Struthio camelus: one gene and its partners. The main gene of each other region encodes a partner of the protein of the gene in region 2 in a complex. Links are inferred from orthologs where the notes say so. Each region holds a gene or a part of one and is shown on either strand. Other genes may lie near its edges.

The links.
Region 1: CC2D2A (region 2) and TCTN1 share a complex: the UniProt entries of both Homo sapiens proteins name them as parts of the tectonic-like complex. The link is inferred for Struthio camelus from reciprocal best matches to the Homo sapiens genes CC2D2A and TCTN1.
Region 3: CC2D2A (region 2) and B9D2 share a complex: the UniProt entries of both Homo sapiens proteins name them as parts of the tectonic-like complex. The link is inferred for Struthio camelus from reciprocal best matches to the Homo sapiens genes CC2D2A and B9D2.

Annotation. Positions count from the first base shown.
Region 1 is NC_090958.1:18,033,027-18,043,641, forward strand, and holds the start of TCTN1 (tectonic-1), read left to right. Parts: upstream 1-4,149; 5' UTR 4,150-4,161; coding exon 4,162-4,384; intron 4,385-4,713; exon of another isoform or gene 4,714-4,852; intron 4,853-5,615; coding exon 5,616-5,736; intron 5,737-7,695; coding exon 7,696-7,826; intron 7,827-8,537; coding exon 8,538-8,704; intron 8,705-9,113; coding exon 9,114-9,201; intron 9,202-10,064; coding exon 10,065-10,174; intron 10,175-10,615. UniProt on the Homo sapiens protein: Component of the tectonic-like complex, a complex localized at the transition zone of primary cilia and acting as a barrier that prevents diffusion of transmembrane proteins between the cilia and plasma membranes.
Region 2 is NC_090945.1:70,660,942-70,671,556, forward strand, and holds the start of CC2D2A (coiled-coil and C2 domain-containing protein 2A), read right to left. Parts: upstream 6,561-10,615; 5' UTR 6,485-6,560; intron 4,797-6,484; 5' UTR 4,775-4,796; coding exon 4,736-4,774; intron 4,221-4,735; exon of another isoform or gene 4,035-4,220; coding exon 3,954-4,034; intron 3,845-3,953; exon of another isoform or gene 3,671-3,844; coding exon 3,574-3,670; exon of another isoform or gene 3,557-3,573; intron 1-3,556. UniProt on the Homo sapiens protein: Component of the tectonic-like complex, a complex localized at the transition zone of primary cilia and acting as a barrier that prevents diffusion of transmembrane proteins between the cilia and plasma membranes.
Region 3 is NC_090957.1:701,462-712,076, forward strand, and holds B9D2 (B9 domain-containing protein 2), read right to left. Parts: upstream 5,200-10,615; 5' UTR 5,179-5,199; coding exon 4,941-5,178; intron 4,298-4,940; coding exon 4,172-4,297; intron 3,275-4,171; coding exon 2,961-3,274; 3' UTR 2,840-2,960; downstream 1-2,839. Other genes in the region: TGFB1 (transforming growth factor beta-1 proprotein), read right to left, coding at 758-1,094; EXOSC5 (exosome complex component RRP46), read right to left, coding at 8,130-8,222, 8,917-9,009, 9,097-9,237, 10,458-10,579. UniProt on the Homo sapiens protein: Component of the tectonic-like complex, a complex localized at the transition zone of primary cilia and acting as a barrier that prevents diffusion of transmembrane proteins between the cilia and plasma membranes.

The DNA of each region.
Region 1 (10,615 bases), on a different chromosome or scaffold from region 2:
ACACGAAAACCTGTCTGAGGTCAGCTAAAAGTCTTGTATGCGATGCGTTCAGAAGAAACACTTCACCAAAATGCTACAGATCATACAACAGCGGGAACAGCAGACATTCAGCCAACAAACAGCTTGATTAATTTATGAAGACCAGGCTGATTAAGCTAATCCTGCTCCGAGTTAGTTTAAACGCCCCAAATAAATTTAAACTGTCAAAACTGTCATCAAAAGGATGTCTGTCCATGAGCAGAACTTCTTTCATTGCCCTGCTGCAGAGAAACACGTTGACTTTGCCAGTTTGCTCACGAAGACTTGCATGTTAGTAACTTCATTCAGACTAGATATTGGTGCACTGTTCTGAAAACTGTCATATCTTTTGTCCCGAGGAACAGCAATAATTTCTTTAAAATTATTTTATGTTTAAATATTTTAAGGGGAAGGGTTATGGTGAAAGTTACATAGAAAAAAATAATCTTACTGATTTACTAAAATAAGCTTGGATAGAAAAACTGAAATGTAAGCAGTGCTTTTTGCTTAATCTTAGTGTTCTATTAAAGACATTGGGTTGCAAATGCCACACTATTATGTTTAAATGCACATCAAAATCTTGTTCCTTAAAATGTAACTGCAGTAACAATACAGTAAGTCCTTTAAAATGCTTTTAATAGACAGCAATCTACTGGGCCTTAAATTTTCATTTTTATAGGACCTCCTATATGAGGATCACAGTGTCCTGTTAATTATTAACTAACTCATGTTGATAGGATAAATTAAAAGCTCTGTGATGGAGAACATGTCTTATTTATTAATGTCCTGACCTTGTCCTACACGTTGCAGAGCTTGCGCTTTGGAACCTACTTCTCAAGACTAACACAGGTTTTTCTGTGGTGGTGAGATTTTTCAACTGTTTTCTCTTATAGTTGGTTTTTGTCTAGCCTTTCTTTTCTGTATGACAAAGTTTTGTTTTTCTATTGCCATTTTCTTTGTATCTGTTTCTGCATGGACCTAATTTACTGCATTCTGTTAATATGTAGATATCTCCAGAAAAGCTTCATGACTTTAATAAACTATTACATTTCATAATTTAGAAATTCAGAGTTACTCACTTAACAAAGCAATAATAAAGAGGAAACTGAAGCGACATCAGCACCTACGCTTGCCCTATTTTTTTTTTTTTTATTTAAATTATGGCCAGTATCGGAGATGGGGTTAGGTGAAATGTTGGTCTGACTGAGTAAACCCTTACTTCTGAAAAAACTGTCATGAAAGAACCTGATTCATTACGCTATACTTTGATATTGAACACTTTCCCATTTGCTCTATTCTATTTCAATGGTAGATGTGGTGAGAAATGGTATCTTCTTACTTATTCAGCTTCTGCGCACATGCGGTCAGAGTCCAATCTGTGCTTGGCACCAACTCACAGACTTCAGCACAGCCTGGGTTTCATCTAGGATCCTGTTCTGCTGTGTGCCATCAGCTTTGCAAGTCATTCCAGATGAAAAAAAATGTGTTAAATTCCATTGTCTCTTGCGCATTATCAACAGAGCAGAGCTCTTCACTGATTTCAAATCCATTAGAAATGTGTAAATTAACAAGCAGGGGTGCTGTGCTTCAATATTAATTATCTCATCTGATGGCAGTGCAGTTGCACAAGAGAAACAGAAGACAGTATATGACCTGTGATGATACTCAAAGAGGAAAACCATAAATTAAGCACCACTCTCCCTCCAAGCCCACAGACTAAATTCTAAGACACAAATTTTGCAGCAGGACTTATAGGTAGGAAAGACCTCTTCATTCTTGTTAATTGACCACATGTGGTAAATGGGAACTGATTAGTCAAGGAAATTCAAGGAATTGTAAACCCCCAAGTCAGCATTGTCCAGGGAGAGGTTTGATCTCAAACACATGACAGCGGAGGAGAGAGCAGCCACATGGTAGAAGGTTCCTTTCTACAGGAATGCCTCTCTCAGCTGGGACAACAAGCACCACAGCAATTAGAAAAACTTCAAAAATCTATTTTACTTTCCCCTCAAGCAAATGGGTGTGGAAGCTTCACAACAGTGACAGCAGAAAAGAGCTTCACTCTCCTTTCAGCAGGCAGGAAACCAAGCCTCCTTTACAGAGGAGGCCTAAGGCCTCCTTCTTCAAGCTGTAAGACTTCTAACTCTGGCTAGCTGAGAATAGGTCCTCAGTTGACATCTATTATCTATGCCTATCTGCTGTACTAAGCAGGGTCAAATACCTGTTTTTTTTTTTTTTTTTTTTTTTTTTTTAAGGAGACCATGTAACCTTCCCTTCCCTCCCACCCCCTGCACATAGTCTCCACTGTGGCTGCAGCCAGTCCTGGCACAGCCTAAATGAGAAGCAAAAAAGTACTCCTGCAATGCCATTTTTATATACACTCCCTTTCTAAAACAGAACTGTAGGTGAAGTCACTGCTATTCTTCAAGCCTGAAAAAGGAAAAAAAAAAAAAAAAAACCCCACCCCAAAACCCAGTAACATAATTTTGGAGACCTTGTTGAAGGGAAACACATGAATGTTTCCAGCTGAATCAAACTAAGGTAATCTCAGAATCAGCAAAGAAACAAACTACATCAGTTCTCCTGCTTCTAGGAAGGAGGCAAATACAGTAACTTTAGGTTATACTTGTTTTAACAGAAGGATTGTAGAATGGCGACTCAGGTCAGACAGTTATTGCATATAAGGTACCCTGAGATTTTAGGTCCAATGGAGTACACCAGATTCTCACCTTCATGTCACCACGTCCTTAGTGCACTGATGACTTTCCAAGAGGAAGGATGACTCGATGCCAACTGATATGGAGCTATTTCAAAGCCATCCTCGTAACTGGCAGTTGTTACCAGCTGTGCTATGTGATACAATCAAAATGACCTTGGTAGCCCTGTACCTTGTGCGGCAGACAATAGCCTGTCTCTCATAATTCAGCAACACTTTTGTCAATAATTGGCTTTTGTACAGTCCCAGTGGAGCAGCAGAAACCTCAGCAGGCTAAAGAGATTAATTAACTCACCTCATCTCCTCTTCAGATGTGGTCGGTCCAGGCCAGGCATGACACACTCGGGCAGAGGACAGAAATGGCAAAGATGCTGTATGCGCTGTGGAATTATTTCAGTTTTCAATAGAAGAACCTGGAACCTCTCCAGCACACTAAATTTGCATGCAAACATGAAGTTAACCTGTTCAGGTGTTGTGACTGGCACTGAGAGCGGTCAAATACGTTAAATGCAAAACAGAACACGCCCTCTTGTGGTCCCGAAGCTTTCAGTGGCTTCCCTTCAAGATGATAGGAACGAGCCTAAAAAGAAAAATAAGAAACTCTGTAATGATGCACTGTGCGCTTTGATGCGGGAGCAAACATTGCAAAGCCGCTTTAGATCAGATAATGCAAAAGACAAATCTCAGAAAGTTTAACTTTAAAAAGCGCACGTTGATTCCTGCTTAGACCCAAGGCCTGGATGCTAATATTTGTGAGCTAACTCTAAGGAACCCTGATCATTTAGTCACTCTGTAGCTCAATTTCCCCAACTATCAAGTTGGTATAAAAATGCTTGTATATACTGCAGAGGTACTATCAAGATAAATGAATATGTGCATATGAATATGAATGAATATGCGCATTAAAGACCAAAAGAACCTGCAGCTTTTTCAAAAGAAAAAAACCCAAGATGAATACTTTTAAAATTACAGTTTAAGAAACACAGAATTATTTTTTAAAAAGTTGCATAAACATACAAATTGTAAGATTTTATACCTCACAAGGGGGGGGGGGCCCTCTTTTTTTTTTTTTTTTTGCATATGGTTTTCCAGTAGTGCCCAGCCTCCCTGTGCGGAGCGAGATCTCGCAGGGCGCACGGGGGCAGCGGCGGTGGCTCTGTCAGGCCAGGGTCGGGGCTGGGGTCAGCCTCCCCTCACGGCCCGCCACAGCACCCAGGGTGCGCCGGCCTGTCCCGTGGGGCCTGGGGCAGCCCCCCTCCCACGGCGCCCGGGGGCTCGGGCCTGGCCTCTCTCCCGTGATGCCCCGGGGCCTGGCCTCTCTCCCGTGATGCCCCGGGCTCCAGGTTGGCCTCTCTCCCCTATGATGCTCCAGGGATCCCTCCCATGATGCCCCGGGGCTGCGGGCGGGTTTTCCCGTCCCTCCCGTGATGCTCCGCGCTCCCCTAGCAACCGCGCGGATGGCGGGGGGGAGGAGCGGTGCCCGCCCGTTGCTAGGGGCGGCCATGGCGGCGCTGCGGCTCGCGTTCCTCCTCCTCCTCCTCCTCCTCCTGGCGCAGCCCCGCGGCCCCCTGCCCCGCGCTGGCGCGGTGGCTCCCGCGGCGCCCCCGCAGCCCCCCACTGCTGCCCGCAGGCCGGCCCCGGTGACGGACGGTGGGTGCCCGGGCCGGGCGGGGGCTGGGCGGCTCCCCCGGGCCGGGCCGGCCCCAGGCCTGCGGGGAGACCCTGCGTGCGCGTGGGGCTGGGCATGGCCCGCCCGAGCCCCTCATTCGGCCCTGGACCCTATAGATAATATTCTGTCACAGCTGTGCCCTCGGCAAGCCTTTCCCGCTTCTTCCAGTCAGCGGATAGGTTCAGCTTTTGATTTCCCAGTGTTGCCTCCCTCCGTTCCGTTTCGCTAGATCACCTGCGGAATTAAACGCGTCCTAGCGTGTGCCTCCTTAGGGAAGGGAGGCTTAAACCCCTGCTGTGTTTAAACTTACCTTGTTTACAACAAGGTGAGCAGAAGACTCCAATCCTAAATTCAGCTGACAGAACAGTCAGAACTTCAGAAATTCCAAGAACTGGCTGGATACGGTTCATGGTGGGCAGAGAGCTTCTGGAGGGCCACAGGGAAGTGTGTTAACAGTCAAACTGAAAGGAAAGAAGTGGTAGTTACGAGGTTAAATATTCATTCGTGTCCGGCCTATGCAGTGCTGATCTTCATTTTCTACATTTTATGCTGCCCTTAAATCTAGATTAATACAGAACAGCCACTTTCAAAACCAGTTAAGTAAATTAATATCTGTTCTCTGAATTTGTAAACCTGGGAACAGAAGAATATTTTAAGAAGCTGCTAAATTTATATTGTCAAGACAGTTCACCATATTGCTGGTGATTACTTCCTTATTATTGCAATATTCACAGTATCCGAAGACACAGAGAAAAAGCAACTGTAAAGAAATTAACTCTAGTTATATTGCAACATCAGGGAAACATTACTGTATCCTGGGACACGTCTGATACTTCTAAACTTCTCATTGCTGTAGGATAACCCTTCTCTCCTTTCATCTTCCCCCCCATCCCCCCCAGCTGAAACAAACCTAGCGTTGCTCCATTATTTGTATCTTTTTTCTCAGCAGTACTACATAACGTTTTAATACCTTCAGCATTCCTATTAACTCCAATTGCTTTTTTGATTTCACAGGGAACACAGGATCAGATTTATAGTATGCCTTGGAAAAGATAACTTTTTAAAATGACTTGTTAAAAAAAAAAAAGTGAATTTGGATGTAGACTTTTGACCATTGTCAAAATTAGGCAAGGTGAAAAATTAAAGTGTTTGAGTACATATTGTAATGTGTTTAGATTTGATTCTAACACTAATTTAAATCTTTTTCTCCAGTTGCCAAGCTGTGTGTTTGTGATCTGTTGGTGGCGCAGTGTGATGTAAATTGCTGCTGTGACCCTGACTGCAGTGCAGCAGATTTCAGTCTCTTTACTACATGTTCAGTTCCTATTGTCACGTAAGTGAATAAATGGTTTTCTGAAATACAAACTCCTGTCCTGTTTGCTGCGTGCATTTGTAAGGGCTCTATCCTGTCCTCTTACAAATCCCTAACCCATCCATCCTGACTACCTTTTCAGCAGTCCCTCCTGCATTAGGCATGCAGTCCTTCCTTCCCCAGCAGGTAGGAGAAAAGCAAATTGGCACCTGACTCCAGTTTCTCATTCCCTGTTTTCCAGACCTGTGCTCCTTGCTTTTCCCCATTCCACTGTCCTACTGTACGTGGGCATTAGCTTCTTTAGAGGGAAGAATAATGTATCTTTAGACTTTTATCAATATAACACAGTGTCTGGAAGCTAAGAAAGCTGGTACCATGGGACAATTTGACCATGTGGGTCATCAGCAATTTATCAGTAACCTCTTTCATTGGTGTTTATTGCATCAGATAGAAACATGATTGATTCAGGTCTGTAGTGAAATACTCGGAGAATCACTCTGGTATTAATTTTATGAGCAAGTACGCAACTTGCTGTCTCACTGCCATTGTCACTTCACAAACAAAGTAAAATGTAACATAACTATCAGCATTATGTTCTTGATTATTGTTTCTTTGCTACTTACAGTCTATCTGAAAATACATTTACCCAGATTTCATCTTCTCAAGTAGAAGCTAAAGTTAATTTCAGAATCTTAATGTAAAAATCTCTTGGTGACTTCTCAGAACAATAAGTATAGCTCTTCAACCTACCTTCTGCATAAATTATGCCAATCTGGAAACTGGAGTTTATTCTCAGTGCTTTGAAATTTCAATTAGCAGTCATCCTCTACTGCCATTCCTTATTGTTCTTGCACACAATGACTACTGCTCCCCATTTATAGGTATTTATATATATCAGAAAGGTCTAATCAACACCTTCCTGAATGACAGTTTAATTATCTCAGGTGACTAGTCTGTCTTTGCCAACTAGAAATGCAGAAAATCAAGTTGTATCTTTTTTCCTAAATTCTTTCCTGTAAGATTTTCATTTTGCATGAAAATCCATGGTATTTTCAATGACTACAAGTGTTCTGGATCTCATTATTTACTTATAGATTTATATACATTTGAATAATTGTAATGGTTACTAACGGGGTTTTGACCACAAGTTAGAGGTTATGTGGTCTGTAAAATGCAGAAAACGGGGGTGTTTTATTTAGGATATGATCCTATTAAGAAATGGTTCACCTCCTGAAAAAGTTTAGCTCCATGCATAAGAAGTTGTTCCTAAAACTCATTTTGCTTTATCACTTTCTATCCCTGACTGTTTTAACTCGCTCTGCCATAAGCACCAGTTTGCCAGGAATCAACATGCTAGAAATACATGAAGGTGAAGGCACTGGTACAGCCACATTGGATCGTTATTTCATCTCCCGGTTTCTCACCTTGTCCTTTCTTATACATGCATCTGAAGTAGGTCACTGTGTCTTTTTACAGAGGTAAATATTATTCCAATGTCCATGAAACTTACTTTTTTTGGCCTACTTAACAACATGTTACCTTAAAGGTCATCCTTCCCACCTCTCTTGTATAAGTAAGAGTGCTTCCAAGCTGTCCAGCCTGTGGTGCATCCTGTGTTTGTGGTGTTTCACACCATCTGAATCCCATCCAACTTGCCATCTTAACTCTAGTATTATTCTTCTGAGGTTCTTCCCTTCACCACTGGCTATGTCTTACCTTATTTCATGTTGCTTTTTGTGCAGTTTCCTCTGCTAGATAAAAAAATGTCTTAGATGTTTCTTTATTATTTGTTACTAAGCACACAGTAACAAGTGATACAAGCCTTTGAAGGATACAGGATTACTATATAAACTGTGTTTAAAAAAGAGTAACTCTGTTAGTACTTTTCTGATGCTATCTCAACACATGAAGATAACTTTAAAATGAAATGGTTAATACTAAATTCTAGTGGATCATTGATTTTGCTATTATTATTCACAGAGGTGACAGCCATCTTTGCAGTCAGAAAGCTGCTATATATTCACTTGATGTTGAAGCAAATCCACCAGAAAGGATATTTAAATTAATTGACCAAATCAATCCTAATGTTTTCTGCATTCATGCTACGAACTGTAAGTAGAGCTATTGCCAATACTAAGCATTGCACTATTATTTTTGTGAGCCCTTTAGGTATCAAAAAGGCAGATTAAAATTAAAAGTAACTAAACCTGTCTGAAAACTGATTATTCTGTATGCTCACAGGCTGTATGTTGTAATCCTTTCACTCGTGAAATTGTGGAGTCCAAACGTCTCAGATACTCTTCTTAGTCTTCTCTGTGGAAGGAATGCTGTTGGCTTTGACTAGGCTTACTTAAAAAAAAATAAAAATAAAAAAAACGTTTTCCTTTCCATTGGCAACTTTAGAGATAAAAGTGACATTTTTCTCAAAAAAAGGAACCTTTTTTGGTTAAGAATTTTACCAAAGTGGAGAAGTGATGAGTGCTCTATTCTCTTAATTTAATTAAGACAGTGCAGTATTTATCTGAATGCTTAGCATGGAAATTGTACTACTTAGCAGGTCTTTGTTTTGGAACATACAATGCTGTTAGAAACCAAGATTTTAAAAGAAAGAGGCTTACCTCTTTCCTTAGGTTTAAGTATGTATTTTCATGAATCAGGGTGAAATCATAAACTGAGATACCACCCAGCTTTTCTCCTGAATGTTCATCCTTCTTTGGTATTTTCCTGTCATTGTTTTTTAACTCAAAACAAAATTATTTCTAAATACTGCTTCTGTATCTTGTATCCTAAATGTTATCTCATTCTTTAAAATGTTTTGACAGATAAGCAAGCACTCTCCTTCATTTCCCCTGAAGTGCCTACTTCTGAAAATTTTGATCAATTGCTTAAACAGTTTGGAAGTGCTACTTTCAGTACTGAATTTGATAGCTGGAGTATAAACACAGATTCTCAAAATCCTTCTGATGCAAATGAAACCTACAGATATGAGGTAAACAATGGTTTCATTCAATCAGTATTATATTGTTCGATCTCAGAGCAAGCGAGCATTCTTTGCATCTGCTTGTAAGAAGCTGCAGGTTTTCCTCAAACAGAGGAACTTTATTTTGGTCTTTAAATATAAAAATATCAGAGTGAAATGCAACATTTTATGTTAGCCAGCTTCAGAAGTGAGTTACGTTAACATCTGTGAAAAATAAGTAGCTGTTTTATTACTGTAAACATGAAGAAAGCTGTCAGCTATGGCTTAAGAATTGATGTGCATAGAAGTAGACAATATTGAGAAATGTAGTGTAAATAAAGACCTCTGTTGTTCAGATTTGTTGTTAATGAAAATACTCCAAAGCTTTCCATGAACTGAAATGCACCTATGTGCTTGAATATGTCCTTTTATTTGGCAGTATGGTGTTCCTATACAGACAGCAGATGCATTTCTGAGACTGCCTAGTCCTGTTGTCTCCTCGTGGTGCTCTGATGCTAATCCTGCAGGTTGGAAAATGCATTTTCAAAGGCATTATTTGGGTTAGAATATTCTCCTGTTATTCCTGACTTGAGTTTAATCAGTCAGTAAAATAGCATGCACACCAACTAAATTCAGATAAAGCTTCATGAACAAATGTTTTTCGAAGAACTTCCGTTTCTGTGAGTTTCTTTGGATATAGACTGGAAGCTGTGTTGCATCTCGGTTAAACATGCAGTTTTAAATACGTAAGTTCTGGTGAGTATTGTTAATAGGTTGTTTATCCCACTAAAACGTACTGTTTGTCATAATTGGTTTAATAAAGTAATACGAGGGTGATACCATGAGGGAAAATATTATTGCACAAAAGCAAAACCCAGCTGGGCAGCCTTTGTAAGACGTCCCTTTGGTACAACGTGGTTCCTTTCACAGCCTGAATGCAGCTCAAGTCAGAGTTGCAGGCTTAGGCCTACATTTTAACCTTTCACGCAGTTTCCTAAAAATCTGCAGAGAAAAAGAGAAGACTGCATCTTCCCAAATTCTCTGTTATTATTGAACATGGTATAATAACGATCATCATGATGAGCATAGGAAAACTGAAATCTCTTGTAAAAGAAACTCTTGCGAGATTTCTAAAACGCAATCACAAATCTTCCTGTAGCTGGTATTAAAACTTCTGTTTTTAGGAAGTTGCTAATGTTTTGCCTCATTGCATTTCTGGAGAATCTAAGAACATATCATGCTTTATACCACACACAAAACCTTATCTGCAATAGAAGTTACAATTACTTTCAGTTTTGTATTTAATTGATGTTCTTATGTTGTTTTTGTTTCTGTTTTTCTTAATTACTATTTCATTTTCTTCAGTAATACTTTGTGACTTTTTTTCCAGGGTTCTTAGTAAACCAGGCTACAAAATGCAGTAGATTAATAAGTGTGGAAAAGTGTAGCACCATTCAAGCCGTTAGTATGCTGTTCTATATTAACTCCAGCATTTTAGCAGTAAGTATGATTTGAAGCCATCATATAGCTGACAGTTGATACTGTATAGTTTTTTGCATCTACAGAATTAAGTAGCTTTTATTTCTTAAGGAAAGTGGTGTTTCATTTGGAGTCGAAGTTGTGGATTGGGAAAAGCCTTCCTATGCAACAAACTTTTATAAAAAAAGCCTTTGAAAATGTTTTTACTTCCAGCTTAGATAAGAGAAGAATCTACTGTTCTCTGCTTAGCCAACAAAAATAACGGTCTTGAAGATACAAGTCTGTGTCACTGAGCTAATAGACTTAGTGCCATGATAGCAGTTTTATGCATGCGTGTATGTTTAAGCTCTTCTAAGAAGCCTGTTAACAGAGTGCATAATTCTAGGAAGCCTGCGTTTTGAAGAGCTGGTAAGCCTTTGTACTTAAGAACCTGTCAGGTTGAATCCTCTGCATACATGCCTT
Region 2 (10,615 bases):
TATCATTCAGTTCAATATTCCTTGAACTAAAGTCTAGAATGTAAAATACCAGCCTAAGGGTATTTTCTTATTAATTTTACAATAATCACTCTAACCTAACTATCTAATAACAGAAAAGATAAACTATTGACAAAGCTTCCTGCATTCGTAAATCAAAATATTTTTAGTAATTGTCTATAAATACTACCATTAAACACACAAGTAGAAAATTCAGATAATGTGGGTGTTTATGGAAACTAATCCTGTAGATTTAACTCATAATAGAGTATAAAAGTTTAAGAGCAAGGGAATTTCTACTAAAGAGGATGACAGCATCTCTCATATCAAGCCTTTTTAAAAGGCACAGGTTTAAAAGATAAATGATTTGAAAGAAATCTGTTTTTCAATAAATACTTAGCTATCCAATTTAATTTAAATGAAATATACAAAAATTGCTAAATATAAATTTTCCACGACGCGCTGTACCAAGCTACATTTTAAATCTATTAGAAATAAACGTAAAAGAAAGTGCCTGCAGTAAAGCACAAAGAATAGCTAATGCAAGTTCTTAAAGTTAAGAAACTTCAGAAACACTGTTGCTGCTTCCTCCCAGCCTTTTGAGATGGAACTGTATGTGTGGTTTAAAACGCACAAATAAAACATGCACAACAGTCACATATCCCTGTGCAGGAAGAACAGATGAAGGGAGGCTTCCAGCATGCTGCTGTACATAGAGAACAGGAGAGAGGAAGAACAGTTAGGAATTTCCAGTTTGGGCCTTTAAAAAAAAAAAAAAGGAAACACAGAAAAAAACCTCCCAACAAGTAATAACAGCTCAGGATCCTTGCAGAGTTTGCACAGCAGTGCCACCATTGGTAGAATATGGCTCAGGAGCAGGATTTCTAACAACCTGAACTCTTTCCTGAACTGCTGAGAATTAACTAGAGCACTTTTATGTTGGTAGTGTAAATATCCTACCATGGCTCCATATTTTCCTTTGGGAAGATCTAATAAGGAAGCTGGATAGCGAAATTAAGGCAGAACTGAGAGCCTGAAAATGTCTTCTAATAAGCCTTTTTATTGATTTCATCAGTACTTGGAAAAGCCTGAAATCAGCAGGGCTCTATGCGACTCTATAGAAACCTAGAACTGCTCCAAATGCCACACTACCAATCCCATATCTGAACAGGATGCAGAAACCAGGCGTAAGGGAAAGCAGATGCACCCAAAAGTTATGCTGTGGCAAAGCATCAGCGTTGACTGAAAGAAAAGAGGGAATCCTGACTTCCACCCCCAGCCCTAGAAGCACCTCTGTATTTTGCACAGATACAATGATTGTATAGAAATGCATGCTCAGACATTCCGAAAACTTTAACTAAAAAATTAAAAAAAAAAAAAAACAGCAAGAGCAAAAATAAAGATTTTGCAACACAGTAGCTGTCCTGACTTCACAAGGCAACAGCTATCAGAAGCCAGGCTTTTTCTTTAAAACAGCACATGATTTGCAACTGTTATTTATTCGTCTAAGTAGTGGACTAACAGCAAACTTTTTTGATTTAAGAAAATTATTTAGGGATCCAAGCACATGCAAAATTATATTACAGGAAAATAATAAATTTCTGCCATTGGACTGCATTAAAAAAAGTAAAGATCAATTAAACACTTGAAATACTAATATTGACAAAAAGACACTCTGTAGTGAATATTAAGTGAAGAAATAGTTAATGGATATGTTTCAAAATAAACATTGCCAGACTGCGAAGAGAATGACAAAGGGATAGTACAATGCTAGGCATACAATAAAACAAATATTCTGGGGACATCATGTGCTGAAAATGCCACAAACATCACCCACTTCCCACTTGGGTTAAAATACAATTTCCACAATGCATAAATTTAATATAAACAATGAGCAAATATGTAGACAACCATGACAAACTAAAAAGGCACAAGAATAGAGGCAAAGTATTATCGCAGACACTAAAACAAAAACCAAAACAAAATAGCAGAGGACTGTCTACGTGGAGTTTCTCAATGGCAACTGGGAAATAGCAGTTTTTATAGTGGGATGTTTTTGTTAGTTATCATTGATGAGACAATGGTAAGCAGAAATTCACGTGCAGATCACCAGCCCAGTAAAGGTAGTGAGGAACTGAAAAGGCATCTATTTTTACCTTATGACTGGGCAAAACACTAGCAAACAAACTTTAGCGATATCATATTCAAAGATTCATATAGAAGGTGATAATTTAAATTACTTATAAACCTATCAGATTGAGCTCCAGGTGAAAGAAAAAAACCCCCCACAACTCTGAAAGTAGTTCTAGATCGATCAGTGAAGACTGTGACTCAAGATGCAGTCCTTCTACAAATTTTAAATGCATGAAAAAAAAATTAGAATAATAAAGTATACTGCAATTAGGTAAACCAATGACACAGTCTAATTCAAACCATATGCAGTACTTTTCACTCAATCGCAACAAAGTTAGCGGAATTTGAGAGATTTCAGAAGAAGCAACAAGAAGGAGTAATGGAAAAACGCTTAAAAAAATAATTTATCACAGAAGGGAACTAATGGCTAATGTTCTTCTCAGAGCACTGCTGTGCTGTTTTGTTTATTCTTAGAAAATGAGCTTCTGTTAGGGAAAACAACTGTCTCTAGAGGGTTTCTCTTTACTTCCCCATGCAATCAATTGTAAAAACTATTTGGACTCCCATCTGTCAACAGTGGCTAATTTCCTAGCACAAACTGTCACAATCAGACTCAGAAAAACACTCAAAAGAACAAATGATAACTACACTGATTTTAAAAGACTGGGAAACATCAAACATCCCTGAGCTGTAGATGTCTGTAACGAATATCATTTGTCAATAAAAGGAGGAAGATCTATGACCTTATTTTATATTACCTTATCCCCAAAATATTGATGAAAAGCTGAGCATGTTTATACTGTTGTGAATTTTGGTTTTATTGACTTTTTAATTCGCAGTTCCATTAACACTTTTGTGTGTCCTACTTACGTAATTCCATAAAAACCTTGTAGTGAGAGTCACAGTATTAATGTTCCCTCAAGTATTTCACAGAAACACTGCAGACAAAGATCCCGCCACAGAAACTGAGGATGACTTTTTGAATACCAGCAGCCTCCACGCTCTCCAAGCGCACAGTAAGACACTGCCCTTCTGCAGGTTCACGCTACCTCACTCTTGCATACAGATTTCATGCTCCATTTCCCACATGCAAAGTAAAATACCCTGGCAATAAATCCATACACTGTCATAATCATGAACGAGACTTAAAGCAGAAGAGGCTGTGCTTTGCCTTTGCAGGTTATGCACAGGCTAACGTTCAGTTACGGCAATACTGCGTGCCCACACGCGCCTTTTTGGAAACTGTTTATTTTATACAAGAACTTTTAATAATCAAGCGGTATTTCAGTGATACAGAAGAACGTTTTCCTGTGCAAATCCACCAAACTCATCAGGCTCTGCAGGGACGCCCACAGCCGTTGCGGGCCCCGGCCGCCCGGCGGCCCCTCCCGCCGCTCCGCCCCGCCCCTCCCGCCGCGCCGCAGCCGTTGGACGGTGACTCACCGCGCGGCGGCGGAGCGGCCGCCATGCTGGCGCGGCTCCCTTCCGGCGGCGGCGGCGGCGGCGGCGAAAGCTCGGGGGCACCGTCAGCTTCCCGCAGCTGCAGTGGGGCAGAGACGGAGCAGGAGAACGCATGAGTAGGATGGGGGTGAGGGGAGCGGGGGAAAGACGGCGAGAGCCGCGACCTGCCGCTGACCCGGCCCCGTGGGGGTCCCCCGAGCCTGCGGCGGAGGGGGCGGGCGGGAGCGCGCGTGCGCCGCGCCCGAGGCCGCTTGCGCATGCGCGGCCGCGTGCGGCGCGCTGAGGGCGGCCCACGGCGGCGGGCCGGCGGCTGCTGGCGCTGCGGAGCCGCCCGTCGCAAATGAACAAATGAACACCCTCACCGGTTTTCTTCTTCGGTGCCTGTGGGCTGTCAAGGTCCGCTTCAGCCTTTCAACCTGGGCAGCGTCCTCATCCAGGAAATCCTTTCAGAGAGAGGGAGTTGTGCTGTGGGCCGCAGACTGGGCCCCTCTCCCGGCCCACAGAAGTCATCTGTTACTCTTATCAAGTGCTGCGATTTAAGCAGTTTTGCCTGTCTGTATTTCACTGATGTCGTTTGCAGGCCCCAGTCCTGAAACTCGTGACACGTGGCTGAAGTTACGCAAATGTGTGGAGGGTAGTAAGGATTAGCAGGGTTAAAGCCGAAGGTCATCTCTAGAGCATTTTTTCATTTCATCTCCTCCTGTCAGCTACCTGTTTGGCCATGACATAACATGCTTCTCTAGGCACAGTTTAAACACAAATGCAGTTGCCCAACTAAAAAAGTAGCTCTACTGATTAGTAACCTCCTGTTCTTATAACGCACTCGAGCTTAAAATACATTTCACTAATAATTTAATCCAGCCAATATGTTACACCAATGTGAAACAATAGCAATGTATATAAAAAGTGTATATTTCACACCATGTGGTTATGATTATAATGTATTTGCCCAGAAATATAATAATTATACAAGCCTCTGTTAATTAGTACTCACTGTACAGAGCTAGGGAACAACAAGAGCATATAAGGTAATTTTAGTAACACTAAAACGTCTTATAGGTCAGTTACGTATGCAAAAAATCCCTGTCACTCTCACTGAGAAATGATGTTAAAACGGTTTTGTCTCAACTAAGGGGACACTAACCTCCATGATTATCATCCGGGATTCTTCACTGCAGTCCATCTATTCAGTAGCTCACACCTGGCTGGCAGAACCAAAACACAGAAACTGTGAGCAGTTATTTTACAGTCAGAGACACTTTACTGTGTGCACACTGATCATTCCATGTGACCTGTGCACCCTGAACACTCAAATGATGTACCATTTAACATGTAGTCTTAATAGTTTAAAAAAATGCTATTTTTTTGAAAACTGAGTAATTCAAAATACATGTGTCAGTTTATTTAATAATTCTATATAACAGTGAATAAAGTGAGCCACTATATGAAGGTCACCTGTTGCATGTTTTTTTATAAATAACCCACCCAGAGTCCATAAAGTCTCCTGACCAGAGAGCAGATTCACAGAAATTCAGATGTCAGAGACATGTTCAATCCCTTTCTTCTCTCTCAGCATTGGGCTTGCTTGACATTTCATGTTTACCAAGTCTGAAATCCATCAAATTACTATGATTTTATATACACCAGGAAGTTGTAGTTGATTACAAACATTCGAAGAATTTTTTAGTTAAATTGGTACAACTCAATTCATTACTACTATTGTTTCAGTTTCTTGTACTGCACTGCATTACCTTTAATCAACAGGGAAGTGCCTTTGGCCTGCACCACCATAGCTGCACTAGTGCAAAATCCAAGTGTTGATTTACTAATCTAAAAATGACTCACAGCAGCATAATTTAGTCTGGATTTCAAAATTCCCATGAAAGGACTCACAGGATTGAGACATATGAGACATGTTTTCATATCTGGCTGAATCTCTCCGTTAGCCAGAGGGCTAACGGAGGCCGACACAGGTCATCCTTGGTTTCTCCATCCTTTTTAGTACTGGGCATGTAAAGGCTCTTTCACTCTTACTTCAAATAATGTTTTCAGGCCAGGCAAGGCTGGTCTTCAAACTCCTCTTTATCTTTTAGGAGGTGCCTAAAAAATGGAGGAGGAGCCAATGGAGGATGTAGGAAGGTGGTAAATAATTGCATTATCTCCTGCCTAAGGATTAGTACTTACCAGCTACTAGGCCCAAAGGATTTTCAGGTTGCCAGACAGCTTCCCTGACTAGCACAGTGAGGAACTTGCCCTGAGCAAGTGTTTTCGTTAGACAGATGTGACTATGTGCCAAACCACCTTTGTATTCATCTCAGTACCAGTTCCCTCTGTAAGTATGTTGCACTAGTGTGAAGAAGGACATGGCTGAAAATTGGAATGTTTCCTTGCTGCGTGCAAGTCTCATCAAATGCCATCCTCGTGGCAGAGAAAATACCGCACTGCAAGAATCTGCAGCATTTTTATTACTCAGCACAGAAGTCTTTTTCATATCAAGCATTTACATAACAGATTTAAACAGTCTTATCTTACAGGCACATGTAAATGGAAAATGCCACAACATAGGTGAAGACCAGTATAGCCACTGTCTTTAACAATTTTCTAGCATTTCTTGAAAGCAAATACTACAGCAGGCATTTAAAAATGTAATAAACAACTGAATGTAAGAACTATAAAGCTCTCTCTCAGCTCAGAGGTTGTTTCTAAAGCACTTAAAACTGAAAACAGAAGTACAGTGAAGTTTCTCTAACTTCTCTTTGAAAAAAAAGATTACTTTGAAAATGTGTGAAAAATAATTTTGAAGATTTTGGATTCTTAAATCGGCCTCATGCATGAAAGCAAGGAAAACACAGTGGTATTTAAAGAGGTCTAAAAGAAAGCATTTGTTTCCTACCTGGGTTTTCTTATGCAGCAGCTCCAGGACTACAGACAACAGCCAGCCACAAACACTCTCAGCCTAGCAACAGGCTGTAAGGAAACCACTGGCCTTCCTTTTTAAAGAGAAAGAGTCAGATTCCCTCCCATAAGCCACTGAAAAAAAAAACCCTGGAAAATGTCTTTTTTATAAACTATTTTTCTAAAGGAAAAGGGAGTGAGAAAGTCATGAATAAAGCATAGGGAAGAGGAAGCGCTTAAAGCTTCTGCAAACATCTACACATTTCAATTACTGCAGTAACTTGGAAAAGAATATGCATTGTATATTTTTGCAGGATCGGAAATGATTATTTCTGACTGAAATACAATAAAAATAGTCACTCTTCCTAACTTTAAGGACCTAGCTCTGCTAAATTATCTGGCTGATTTCTCTATACTTCCTCTGTAACCAGAGGAGAAGCATATGCTATCCATGGGACATGTAAGATTCAAAGCAATTAAGTTATATATTCCTGAATGTAAATTGTTTGCTGAGGAGCATACCTCCCCCTGCTGACTACAGGGTGATAGTAGACCCCTAGTTTAGACTACATGCCAACATTCAGATAAGCAAAATTTACTTGGATGAATTTCAGTCTGAATTTCAACCCTGACATTAATGATGTAAGGATAAATCCTTAAAGTGGACTTTACTTCAAGTAAAGTTACTATCCAGCAGTTTTTCAAGTGCTATCTCTGTTTTCCAATGCATTAAAATATTCAGAAAGAATATTAACCCAAATTGTATCAAGAAGACAGCTGTATCCTATTGTTTACAGACGATCCTAACGGATCAACATAAGTCTCAGCAAACTTCTTAGCCTGTAATTTTTGGGAAAAGTCACAGGAAACATAGCACACTGGAAAAAAAAAAAAGAAGTATAAGCTTTCAGCAGCTGCACTTTGCCAAGACAGGCTTTTTACCACATCAAGACTAAAAAGGTATCTCTAAATGATCTGACTTTGGAGGAGGAAGACCATGAAACCAAAGTAGTAAGTAAGACAAATGATAGGACTTCTTATTTTTAAAGTTTTTACTGTATTATATTACTTCCATAGCAGAATAAAAGAAGGGTATCAAGGTTTCATTCAGATTTCTCTAGAGGCTGCTTAACGGGAAATACAATCCCTGACACCCCTGGCTAGAGAAGCAGTGGAGGGATGGGTTATCTGCTTGTTGAGTGCTCACAACCATCTTACCTAGATACTAGCAGTGGAAGGAGTATCTTAGCAGTTCCAGATAGTTTGTAGAAATGTGGACTTGTATACAATTCCTAACTTTTACAGGTACAAAGTAATTGATACTATTCCTATCAAGTATAGAGAGGGTCTTTTTTGCTGCACTGAATTTGGTGAACAGTAATTTCTTATCTAAACATTTGTATTAATATCTTCCTTATGAACGGAATAAATGTTATTGCTGATACCAAATGGAGCTGTTATTAGACCTGGTTATCCTTGCCCCTTCGTAACATCTGCAGGTCCATTACTGCAAAGTTTTAGTACCTAAAGTGACATGAAAAGAGGTGGCTAAGTTGTTTCCTATTTCTGAGTACTGTTGTTATCAAAAAGGGGTTCATGGGAAGAAGCAAACAGTCACAGTAGAGAAAAGATTGGGTGTAAGCGTTTTTAATTTGCAGAGAGGAACTATCACGGCTAGGAAACACCTTACGTGCCAACAGATTACAAGAAGGGGAGAGGAATGTGATCAGGAGAGCGGTTTGGTGCGGCACATGCACATACGCAGCAGTGAGCCTCCAGTGCCTGCTGAGCTTCACTGTATCACCGTGGAAGTGATCCAGTGGGTGAGCCTTCATATAGGGTTTTGGCAATGAATCACATTAAACATCTTGTTTTGCTAATAAGTCTGCTTCCCAACAATTTATTCTAGTTTCAGAAACAGTTATGCAAACAATTTAAATGATGGACAAATATGAATAGCGTTACATAAGGAACATCACTACACTACCCTGGAGGAGCAGTGGGGGACCTTTGCCTAGCAGGATGGAGAGCTACGTAAAAAACACGTCAGTACAATGGCTGTACTCACAGGAGAAATACAGAATTCAAACCACATACGTTTCCCGGAGCTAGGTTCAACACATTTATTTCAGCCAGTATTATAAAAACAACAGCAAGGCCAATGTCTGATTACCCTGGACAGCAGATGTCGTGCTCTGAATGAGCTGTCTCGACTTTGTTAGGTGTAACACTGTCACTCGCTTAGGCATAAGCTGTTATTTTGCTAATGACAGCCCAGGATGACCTTTGGCACAGGCAGAGCAGACAAACAAACTATGCAACAAACCATGGGGCGAAGCAAAATCATAATGCTGGTCCTCAATAACCAGCAGTTGCAGCTGTGCCGCTAGGCTGGCGGCCGCCACGCTGCCTCTGCCCCGTTCCCACACCTCTTGCTGCAGGGATGGGAGACCCCCGGGGCCAGCTGCCCAAAAAGAGGCAGCCCAGGGAGCGAGGGCTGGAGGCGGGCTGGGCTTCCCCTCCCTCGCCCTCCCTCGCTCGCGGGAGAGCTGTCACACGCTTTGTCCGCGTCCTCGCCCTCTGGGACATGCGGCCACCCTGTCCTGCCTATGGCACAGGGATTGCCGGCCCGATGACCTGAGGGAGAGCAGTTTTAAGATGAATAGCAAGCAACAAAGGATAGAGTTTATTTTCAGTTTGCAAGGATAAAGTAAGGTCAGGAATGCCATGTACAGCTCTTTTATCCTGCAGAATCAAAGCCAAATCCTGTAACAACAAATGGAAACAGAAGCAAAATTCCAATTCTTACGACATCCATACAGCATCTACAAAATATGAGGACATGTTGCTGCATTCTTAGAAGAGCTAGTATATGCAGCTCTAAAATGATCCCAATTTCAGGGAGATAGATAACCAAGGGGGAGCAAATTGTGCTCATCTTGATTTTCTTTAACTGATTGCACCTTGCTCCAACATGATAGAAAATCACAATAAAATGCCCTCAGATTTGTCAGAGAAGAAAAAGAAATCACTGCTCATTACCAGAACATCTGACAGAATATAGGTGACTACAGGTGGTGCTGGAGAGGAGCAAAGCTGCCGCTTGGACATCAGCATCAGTGGCAGACTAGTTTTTCCGATGATTAAAGAGACTGTTTTTCAACTCAAAGTTTTAAATCCTTTCCACCGTACGCTGCGGAAAGTGCTAGTGGGTGCCATTAGCTCTGTGGGTGCTAAAAAGTCACAAAGTACGTTATTCTTTATACACTTTACTCAGTTCTAGAAATCTTACCTACTCTTGCCAAGAGGTCACTTCTGGAGCATTCTGAACATGATTCTGAACTCATTTATCCCTTTTTCAAGAATTCAAAGGTTTTGTTCCTTTGTTAACACTACATTAACAAGGTGATTTTTGTGAATATTTTGTATTGTGTCTAGGATTCTGACAGGTGCTTTAAATTTGAAAAGAAACAAATTTGTCATTTCCTTGGTGTATGCAGAAACATTCTAGGATATATTTAGGTTTCCTACACCTCAAATTAAGTCTCCTTTGAAAGTCAGGTATTTTCTATATACTTGAATGTGTTGAATTTGGCGACATGAAAAGATTATCTAGCCCGCCTTAATAAACTGTAATAATATTCTGGAGGATAGCCAAGTTAATGCAATTGAAGGTGTCCCAGGAGGAACTTGAGCAGTACTTGACAGGTGCTGTGACAAGAGGTCCCTTGCATCTTTGTAAGGGTGATTCCGTGTTCTGCTGGTCAATCCAAGCTTTCTTTTTAGTTATAAGGCGTGTAATTTGCCATACTAAATTAAGCCACTTTTCCCACTTAGCAGGTTGCTCTCCAAGAGCAGAAATCTTATTTAACTTTTGCCATCTCAAAGTTAAATTCTAACCTAAGCTAGTCAATTTGGTGTCCCTCACTATTAATGCAAGAAGGCAGGTACCTCCAGATTTTTTGTCTTAAAGTAGTTCTCTAGTATAGTTGTCCGTATCTTTGCAGTGATGACAGGAGAGCTAACAACTGGCTTAACCTACGCACTGATCTTTTAGAGACTGCAGTCAGATGAACTTCATGCTAATATTTGCTGCTTCAGGAACAATCTACATCTAGGAAAAAGTTTC
Region 3 (10,615 bases), on a different chromosome or scaffold from region 2:
AGGCGTCCGGGACCCTCCAACCCTAGCAGGGCCCAGGCGTCTGGGACCCTCCCACCCCAGCGGGGCCCAGGCGTCCGGGACCCTCTAACCCCCCCCTGAAACGGGGCCCAGGTGTCCGGGACCCTCTAACCCCCCCCCCCGAATTGGGGCCCAGGCGTCCGGGACCCTCCCACCCCAGCGGGGCCCAGGTGCCCGACCCCCTCCCACCCCCCCCCCGAAGCGGGGCCCAGGCGTCCGGGAGCCTCCAACCCCAGTGGGGCCCAGGCGTCCGGGACCCTCCAACGCCCCCCCCCGAAGCGGGGCCCAGGTGCCCGGCCCCCTCCCACCTCAGCGGGGCCCAGGCGCCCGGCCCCCTCCCACCCCCCGAAGCGGGGCCCAGGCGTCCGGCCCCCTCCCACCCCAGCGGGGCCCAGGCGTCCGGGACCCTCCAACACCCCCCCCCCTCAGCGGGGCCCAGGCGTCCGGGACCCCCCCCCCTCAGCGGGGCCCAGGCGTCCGGGACCCCCCCCCCCGAAGCGGGGCCCAGGCGTCCGGGACCCTCCCACCCCCCGAAGCGGGGCCCAGGCGTCCGGGACCCTCCAACCCCAGCGGGGCCCAGGCGTCCGGGACCCCCCCCCCCCTCAGCGGGGCCCAGGCGTCCGGCCCCCTCCCACCCCCCGAAGCGGGGCCCAGGCGTCCGGGACCCTCCAACCCCAGCGGGGCCCAGGCGTCCGGGACCCCCCCCCCCCTCAGCGGGGCCCAGGCGCCCGGCCCTCACCCTGCCCGGGGCCGCGCTCGGCCGGGAAGCGGTGCAGCTCCAGCGCGTAGTAGTCGTCGGGCGGCGGCGGCGCGGCCTGGCGGAGCCGCGCCCGCTCGCGCAGCGCCTCGCGGCTGCTGTTGTAAAGCGCCGCCACCTCCTCGGGCAGCGGCCGCGCCGGCGCGTCGGCGGGCGGCGCCGCCAGGCGCAGCTTGCTCAGGATCTGCCCGCGGATCGCCTCGATCCGCTTGCGCCGCGCCAGCTCCAGGTCGAGCGTGCGGCAGGTGGAGAGCGCCCGCGCCGCCCCCAGCAGCGCCTGCGCCGCCCCCAGCAGCGCCAGCAGCGCCGCCAGCTCCATGGGCCGCGCCCGCCGCCGCCGCCCGAGCCCAGCCGAGCCGAGCCCGAGCCGCCGCGCTTTAACCGGGCCGCGGCCCCTCCCAGGAAGCCACCGGCCGCCCCCCCCTTCCGGGCCGCCGCGGGGAAACTGAGTCACGGCCCCGCCGCGATGGGGGGGGGGACAGGCCGAGGGGCCCAGGCGCCGCCGCAGCCCCCCCCGCAGAACCGCGAGGGGCCCAGGCGTCCCGCAGCGAGGTGGGGAGGGGGGGGCCCAGGCGTCCGGCACCGCTGGAGGGGAGGGGGCCCAGGCGTCCGGCACCGCTGGAGGGGAGGGGGCGCGGCGGCGAAGGGGCGGCGGGGGGCCCAGGCGTCCGGCACCGGCTCCCTCAGCAGCGCGAAGGGGCCCAAGCGTCCGGCACCGGCCCCGCTAGAAAGGGCCCAGGCGTCCGGGACAGCCCTCCCCACTACCGGAAAGGGCCCAGGCGTCCGGGACCGGCCCCCTCCGATAGCGGAAAGGATCCAGCCGTCCGGAACGCCCCCCCCCCCCCCGCCCCAAACCCTCGCCCGCCCCAGCACGACCGACGCAGGGACCCAGGCGTCCGGGACCCTCCCCCCAGCAGAGAGGGCCCAGGCGTCCGGGACCGACCCCGCTAAAGAGGACCCAGGCGTCCGGGACCCCCCACCCCCCCTCCCCCGGCGGAGGGGACCCAGGCGTCCGGGCCGCCGCACCCGCGCGACACGGGCGCCCCCTGGCGGCCGCGGGACCCCGGGAAGGGCCCAGGCGTCCGGCCCCCCCCCCGCCGGGCCGCGAGAGCTCAGCGAAACGGGGGCTGCGCAGTAAAACCCGCTTTATTGGGGGGGCCCAGGCGTCCGGGGCCTGGGGGCAGCACTGGTGGGTCCCTGGCGGGCTGTGCCTGAGGGACCCCGGCGTCCTGCTCCCGGGGGGCCCCGGCGTCCTGGCCCTGCAGGCAGCGCTGGTGGGTCCTGGCATCCTCGGCCCAGGTGTCCTGGTGCGCAGTGTCCTTCCCTGGGGGGCCCGGGCGGCCTGGCCCGTGGGGGGCCCAGGCGTCCTGGTGCCCAGCGCATGGTCCTGGGGGGCCCAGGTGTCCGGGCGCAGCGGGGCCCAGGCGTCCGGGTGCAGCGGGGCCCAGGCGTGCGGGCGCGGGGGCCCAGGCGTGCGGGCGCAGCGGGGTCCGGGCGCGGGGGCCCAGGCGTCTGGGTGCAGCGGGGCCCAGGCGTGCGGGCACAGCGGGGCCCAGGCGTCCGGGCGCAGCGGGGCCCAGGCGTCCGGGCACGGGGGCCCAGGCGTCTGGGCGCGGGGGCCCAGGCGTGCGGGCGCAGCGGGGCCCAGGCATCCGGGCGCAGCGGGGCCCAGGCGTCTGGGTGCAGCGGGGCCCAGGCGTGCGCGCGCAGCGGGGCCCAGGCGTCTGGGCGCAGCGGGGCCCAGGCGTCCGGGCGCGGGGGCCCAGGCGTGCGGGCGCAGCGGGGCCCAGGCGTCCGGGCGCGGGGGCCCAGGCCTCCAGGCGCGGGGGCCCAGGCGTGCAGGCGCAGCGGGGCCCAGGCGTGCGGGCGCAGCGGGGCCCAGGCGTGCGGGCGCGGGGGCCCAGGCGTCCGGGTGCAGCGGGGCCCAGGTGTCCGGGCGCGGGGGCCCAGGCGTGCGGGCGCAGCGGGGCCCAGGTGTCCGGGCGCGGGGGCCCAGGCGTGCGGGCGCAGCGGGGCCCAGGCGTGCGGGCGCGGGGGCCCAGGCGTGCGGGCGCAGCGGGGGCCCAGGCGTGCGGGCGCAGCGGGGGCCCAGGCGTGCGGGCGCAGCGGGGCCCAGGCGTCCGGGCGCAGCGGGGCCCAGGCGTGCGGGCGCAGCGGGGCCCAGGCGTCCGGGCGCAGCGGGGCCCTAGCTCTGGACGCCGTAGCGGGCGAAGTGGCGCAGCAGCACGGCCAGCTGGAGGTGGACGGTGCCGGCGGCCTCGGTGCGCAGGCGGAAGCGCTCGGCGGCGCCCAGCACCAGGTCGGGGCCGCGCAGCTGGGCGCCCCCCCCCAGGAGGCGGCGGGCCAGGCGCTGGCGGGGGCCCCCGCGCGGGCGCCACGTGCCGCAGGCCAGGCCGTGCCAGCCGGCCCGCGCCGGCACCGCGCAGAAGCCGTAGCCGGCCAGGGCGGCGCGCCCGAAGGCGTCGCGGTGCCAAACCTGCAGGTGCAGCCGGGGCCACCCTGGCGCGGGGGGGGGGGGTGTCACCCGCACCGCCGCCGTCAGCCCGGGGGCCGCGCGTGCACGGGGGGACGCGCGTGTGCACGGGGGGACACGCCTGTGCACGGGGGATCATGCATGGGGGGACACGGATGTGCACGGGGGGACGTGCGTGTGCACGGGGGGACACGGGTGTGCACGGGAGGACACGCCTGTGCATGGGGGGATCACGCGTGTGCACGGGGGGATCATGCACATGTGCACGGGGGGACACGGATGTGCACGGGGGGACACGCCTGTGCACGGGGGATCATGCATGGGGGGACATGCCTGAGCACGGGGGGACACGCGTGTGCACGGGGGGATCATGCACATGTGCACGGGAGGACACACGTGTGCACGGGGGGACACGCCTGTGCACGGGGGATCATGCATGGGGGGACACGGATGTGCACGGGGGGACGCGTGTGTGCACAGGGGGACACGCATGCGCACGGGAGGACACGCCTGTGCACGGGGGGATCACGCGTGTGCACGGGGGGATCATGCACATGTGCACGGGGGGACACGCCTGTGCACGGGGGATCATGCATGGGGGGACACGGATGTGCACGGGGGGACGCGTGTGTGCACAGGGGGACACGCGTGTGCACGGGAGGACACGCCTGTGCACGGGGGGATCACGCGTGTGCACGGGGGGACGCGCATGTGCACGGGGGATCATGCATGGGGGGACACACGTGTGCATGGGGGGACACGCCTGAGCACGGGGGACACGCGTGTGCACGGGGGGATCATGCACATGTGCACGGGGGGACGCGCGTGTGCACGGGGGGACACGCGTGTGCATGGGGATTGTGCACGGGGGATCACGTGTGTGCACGGGGGGTCACGCGCGTGCACGGGGGGCGCGGGGGCACCTTGCAGGCCGCGGGTGGCGAAGTGCAGGTCGATGGGGTGGCTCCAGTAGGCGGCGGCGCCCGGCTGCGGCTCGTCCAGCTGCGTCTGGCCCTGGCGGCGGCCGGCCAGCAGCCGCCACGCGCCGCCTGCGGCACGCCGGCCCGCCTCGCACACGCGCGTGCACCCTCCCGCCCGCCTCGCACACGCGTGTGCACCCGCCCGCCTCCGCCTGCGGCACGCCGGCCCGCCTCGCACACGCGCGTGCGCCCTCCCGCCCGCCTCGCACACGCGCGTGCACCCGCCCGCCTCCGCCTGCGGCACGCCGGCCCGCCTCGCACACGCGCGTGCACCCTCCCGCCCGCCTCGCACACGCGTGTGCGCCCTCCCGCCTCCACCTGCGGCACGCCGGCCCGCCTCGCACACGCGCATGCGCCCTCCCGCCCGCCTCGCACACGCGTGTGCGCCCTCCCGCCCGCCTCGCACACGCGTGTGCGCCCTCCCGCCCGCGCGCGCCCCCCTCTGCCCACGTGTGCCCGCTCCTGCACACACGTGTGCCCGCTCCCGCACACGGCTGCGTGCTGCTGCCAGCCTCTGCATGCTCCCACACGCGCGTGCCCGCCTCTGCCCGCGTGTGCACGCTCCCACCCGCATCTGTGCACTGCCACACGCGTGTGCACGCAGGCCCGGTACATGTGCATGCTCCCACACGCGTGTACGGGGCAGCCTCCGTGTACGTGCATGCTCCCAGCCGCGTGTGCACGCTCCGACACGCGTGTGCGCCTGCCCTACCGGCGTGGACGCCCCACTTGCAGAAGAGGCCGCCGTCGGCGAAGCCGCTGGCCCCCACGATCTGCCCGATGACGTGCACCTCCGCCATGGCCGCCCCGGGCGCCGCTGCACACGCGGTCCTGCCGCACACACAGCGCCCTCGTGCGCGCACAACCCCGGTGCACACCCACCACCCTCGTGCATGCACAACCGCGGTGCACACCCACCACCCTCGTGCACACCCACCACCCTCGTGCATGCACAACCGCGGTGCACACCCACCACCCTCGTGCACACCCACCACCCTCGTGCGCGCACAACCCCGGTGCACACCCACCACCCTCGTGCATGCACAACCGCGGTGCACACCCACCACCCTCGTGCACAACCACCACCCTCGTGCATGCACAACCCTCGTGCACGCACAACCCCGGTGCACACCCACCACCCTCGTGCACAACCACCACCCTCGTGCATGCACAACCCTCGTGCACGCACAACCCCGGTGCACACCCACCACCCTCGTGCACAACCACCACCCTCGTGCACGCACAACCCCGGTGCACAACCACCACCCTCGTGCACACCCACCACCCTCGTGCACGCACAACCCCGGTGCACACCCACCACCCTCGTGCACAACCACAACCCTCGTGCACGCACAACCCCGGTGCACAACCACCACCCTCGTGCACACCCACCACCCTCGTGCACGCACAACCGCGGTGCACACCCACCACCCCGGTGCACGCCCAGCCCAGGTGTTCGCACCCCCCGCCCCCCCTTGCACACTCGTGTGCAACCCCCCGCCCCGCGCATGCGCGCTGCGCCCCCACCCACCGCCGCCCCGGGGGCTCCTCGCGCCGCCGCCGCCGCCGCGCGCTCCCCGCCGCCGCTCACACGCACTTCCGGCTGCTGTTGCCACGGCAACGCCGCCAGCCTGCGCAACGCCGGCGCCTGATTGGCCGCGGCAGGAGGGGAGGGGGCGTGGCCAGCCCCGCCCTGGCTGGCGGCGGGCAGAGCGCGGCTCCACCCCCCGCCGCCATCTTGGGAAGGTCGCGCCGCCTCCGCCGGTCCCCGAGCGGGGCCATCTCGGCCCGCAGGAGCGCGAAGGACCGGACCGGCCTCCCGGTGCCGGGTGCCGCGGCCCGGGGAGGCGGCTGCCGGCGCCACCTTGGCAGCGGCAGAGCCCTGGGGGAATGGGGGCCGCCAACTTGGGGCGAGAGGGAATAAGGAGGCGGCCATCTCGGTAGTGGCGCAGGGCGGGGCCGCCATGTTTGCGCCTGTACGGCGGAGGGCGCCGCCATCTTGGCGCTGCCGCGCTGTGGGGGCCGCCATCTTGGGGGCCTGGTTGGACGTGGCCCGACGTGGGTCAACATGGCTCGACATGGGTCAACATGGCCTGACACGGGTCAGCATGGCTCAACGTGGCCTGACACAGCTTGACATGGGTCAACATGGCTCGACATGGCCTGACACGGCTTGACATGGGTCAACATGGTTCAGCATAGCCTGACACGGCTTGACATGGGTCCACGTGGCTCGACATGGCCTGACACGGCTTGACATGGGTCCATGTGGCTCGACATGGCCTGACACGGCTTGACATGGGTCAACATGGCTCGACATGGCCTGACACGGCTTGACATGGGTCAACATGGTTCAGCATAGCCTGACACAGCTTGACATGGGTCAACACGGTTCAGCATAGCCTCACGCGGCTTGACATGGGTCAACATGGCTCAGCATAGCCTGACACGGCTTGACGTGGGTCAACATGGCTCGACATGGCCTGACACGGCTTGACATGGGTCAACACGGTTCAGCATAGCCTCACGCGGCTTGACATGGGTCAACATGGCTCAGCATAGACTGACACGGCTTGACGTGGGTCCACATGGCTCGACCTGGCCTGACACGGCTTGACATGGGTCAACACGGTTCAGCATAGCCTCACGCGGCTTGACATGGGTCAACATGGTTCAGCATAGACTGACACGGCTTGACGTGGGTCCACATGGCTCGACATGGCCTGACACAGCTTGACATGGGTCAACATGGCTCGACATGGCCTGACACGGCTTGACATGGGTCAACACGGTTCAGCATAGCCTCACGCGGCTTGACATGGGTCAACATGGCTCAGCATAGACTGACACGGCTTGACGTGGGTCAACATGGCTCGACATGGCCTGACACGGCTTGACATGGGTCAACACTGTTCAGCATAGCCTCACGCGGCTTGACATGGGTCAACATGGCTCAGCATAGACTGACACGGCTTGACGTGGGTCCACATGGCTCGACATGGCCTGACACAGCTTGACATGGGTCAACATGGCTCGACATGGCCTGACACAGCTTGACATGGGTCAACATGGCTCGACATGGCCTGACGCAGCTTGACATGGGTCAACATGGCTCGACATGGCCTGACATGGCTTGACATGGGTCAACATGGCTCAACATGGCCTGATATGGCCTGATGCAGCTCGACATGGGTCAACGTGGCCCAATATGGCTTGACATGGCTCAGCATAGCCTGACACGGCTTGACACGGGTCAGCATGGCCTGATACGGCCTGACGCAACTCAACATGGGTCAACGTGGCCCGACATGGCCCCTGACCCTGCCCAAGCGCACCCACATGTCCCTGCAGGCACAGACACGCGTGTCTCCAAGCGTGTCCCCACACGTGCCCCGCACACCCCCCATAGCCACGTGTCCCCACACGTGTCCTGCGTGCAGGGTCCCACTGTCCCCTGCCCAGGCTCCTGAAATGGGGCACCCCACATACCCGGAACCCCCTCAGCCCCCCACATTGGGGGCACCCCACGCCCAGAGCCCCCCCCACATTGGGAGCACCCCACACCCGGGCTCCCCCACCTTCCCCTCCCGGGAGGTGACACGAGCTCGCCCGGCCTCAGCCGAGGACCCCAACGCACCCGCTCTGCCTGGGGAGGGGGGCACAGCTGGGGGCCAAGGTGGCAGCAATTAGGCCCCTAATTACCCCCTGGTAATTACCCCGGGTGGGGGGGGGGGCTGCACGCAGGGCTGGAGGGGGGACGGGGCTCGGCCCCCCCAGGGCGGCGGCAGTGAGAGGCGGCAGCAGGTCGGGGCGGCCTGTTTAATGCCCCCGACGGCGGAGGGGGGTGCGGGGGGGAGTCCGGATGGGTGCGGGGGGGTCGGGGGCCCCGGCGTCCGGCGCGTCACCACTTGGAGTACTTGCGGCGCAGGCAGTCGCGGTAGAACTGGAAGATGGCGGCGGCGGCGCGCTGGGCGGCGGCGAGGCTCTGCTGCAGCTGCGGAGGGGGCGCGGGGCGTGGGGGGCCGCCCCACGGCGGGGGGGGGGGCACGGGGGGGCCACCTCACCCATGGGGGGGGCTGCCCCATGGTGGCGGGGGGCACAGGGGGGCCACCCCATGGTGGGGGGGGCACGGGGGGGCCACCTCACCCGCAGGGGGGGAACAGGACATGGGGGGGGGGCTTCCCCACGGCGGGGGGGGGTGGAACATGGGGGCTGCCCCATGGTGGGAGGGGGGGACAGGGGCCACCCGACGGGGGGGGGGTTCCTCATGGGGGGGGGGGCAGGACACAGGGGGCCGCCCCATGGCGGGAGGGGGAACGGGACGGGGGGGGGGCTGCCCCACGGCATGGGGGGGGGGAACATGACGCAGATGGCCGCCCAATGGTGGTGGGGGGGAACGGGACATGGTGGGGGGCTGCCCCATGGCATGGGGGGGGGAACGGGACATGGGGGGGGCTGCCCCACAGCATTGGGGGGGGCTGCCCCACAGCATGGGGGGGGGACACGGGGGGGGGGCCGCCCCCCGGGGCAGGACGGGGGTCACAACCCCCAGTGCGTGTGTGTTTTGGGGGGGGGGGGGAACCGACAGGCCGGGAACCCGCAGGAAACCCCTCGCTGCCCGGAGCGACCCAAACCCGCGGCGATTCGCCCCGAAAGCCGGGACGGGGGGGGGGGGGGGGGGCGCTGACCTCCTGGGGGGAGCAGGCGCCCTTGGTGGTGGCGGCGGCCAGGAGGCGGCCGTCGGGGCTGGCGATGGCGAAGGTGAGCACGGCGCGGGCCTCCTGCGGGGCGAGGGGCAGCGGGGCTGAGCCGGGGGGGGGGACCGCGGCCCCCCGGGGTGGGGGGGGACGGGGGGGGGACCCGCTCACCCGCTCCTGGCGCGCCGTGGGGTCGAGGACGAGGCGGCCGTCGGGCCGCAGGGCGCAGGCGACGCCGCAGAAGAGCGAGGCCAGCGGCAGCCCCGCGTCCAGCAGCCCCAGGCAGGCGGCGTTCAGGCAGCAGGCCAGCAGCTGCGCCCCGCGTCAAGGCGCCCCCGGCCCCCTCCGGCCCCCGCGCGCCCCCCGAAACCCCCCCCAAGCCCCCAATTCCCCCTAACCCCCCCAAACCCACATCCAGCCTCTCAAACCCCCCGAAATCCCCTCAAACCCCCCGAAATCCCCAAGCCCCCAATTCCCCCTAACCCCCCCAAACCCACATCCAGCCCCTCAAACCCCCCAAAATCCTCCCCAAGCCCCCAATTCCCCCTAACCCCCCCAAACCCACATCCAGCCCCTCAAACCCCCCGAAATCCCCCCCAAGCCCCCAATTCCCCCTAACGCCCCCCAAACCCCCATCCAGCCCCTCAAACCCCCCGAAACCCCCCCCAAGCCCCCAATTCCCCCTAACGCCCCCCAAACCCCCATCCAGCCCCTCAAACCCCCCGAAATCCCAACCCCTAAATCCCCCTAACGTCCCCCAAACCCCCCAAAGTCCCCCCAAACCCCCAATTCCCCCTAACGCCCCCCCAAACCCACATCCAGCCCCTCAAACCCCCCAAAATCCCAACCCCCCCAAATCCCCCTAAAGACCCCCAAACCCCCCGAAATCCCCCCAAGCCCCCAATTCCCCCTAGCGTTCCCCAAACGCCCCTCTATCCCCCAAACCCTCTAAATCCCTCCCCCAAAACCCCCATTCTCCCCCCAAAACCCCCAATCCCCCCAACCCCTCTCAATCCCCCCATTCTCTCCTAAACCCCCTCGAACCTCCCACTCTCCCCCCCAACCCAATTCCCTCCCCAAAATCCCCAAATCCCCCAACAATGCCCCAAACCCCCCTCTATCCCCCCACCTCCCCACTCCCTTCCTGACGTGCCCAACGCCAACAACCCCCCAAACCCAATCGATGCCCCCAACCACCCCAATTCGCTCTCCGAAACCTGCCTGCTCCTCCAAAACCCTGCCAGCTTCCCCCGAACCTCCACTTAACCCCCCAAACCACCCCAATTCCCTCCCCAAGCCCCCAGCTCCCCCCCAAACCCCATCAGCTCCCCCCCAACCCCCCTGACTGCCCCCCAAACCCTAATTCATCCCCCAAACCCCGATTCTCTCCCCCCAAGCCCCCCAGCTCTCCTCTAAACCCACCCGCTTCCTGCCAAGCCCCCGTCCATCCCCCCAAACCCTGGTTCCCTCCCCAAAACAGCCCGCCCCCCCCAGCCCCCCCCCAGCCCCCCGGCGGGGGCGGAAGCGGATACGGATCCGGCGTCGCTGAGCACCTGCAGCACCAGGGTGACGGCGGAGCGAGGGTGCAGGGCGCCCAGCAGCACCGCCTGGCACGTGCGCCGCAGCAGCTGCTCCCGGCTCCGCTCCGCCACCCCTGCGGCCCCACGGGGGTCACGGCCGCCCCACGGCC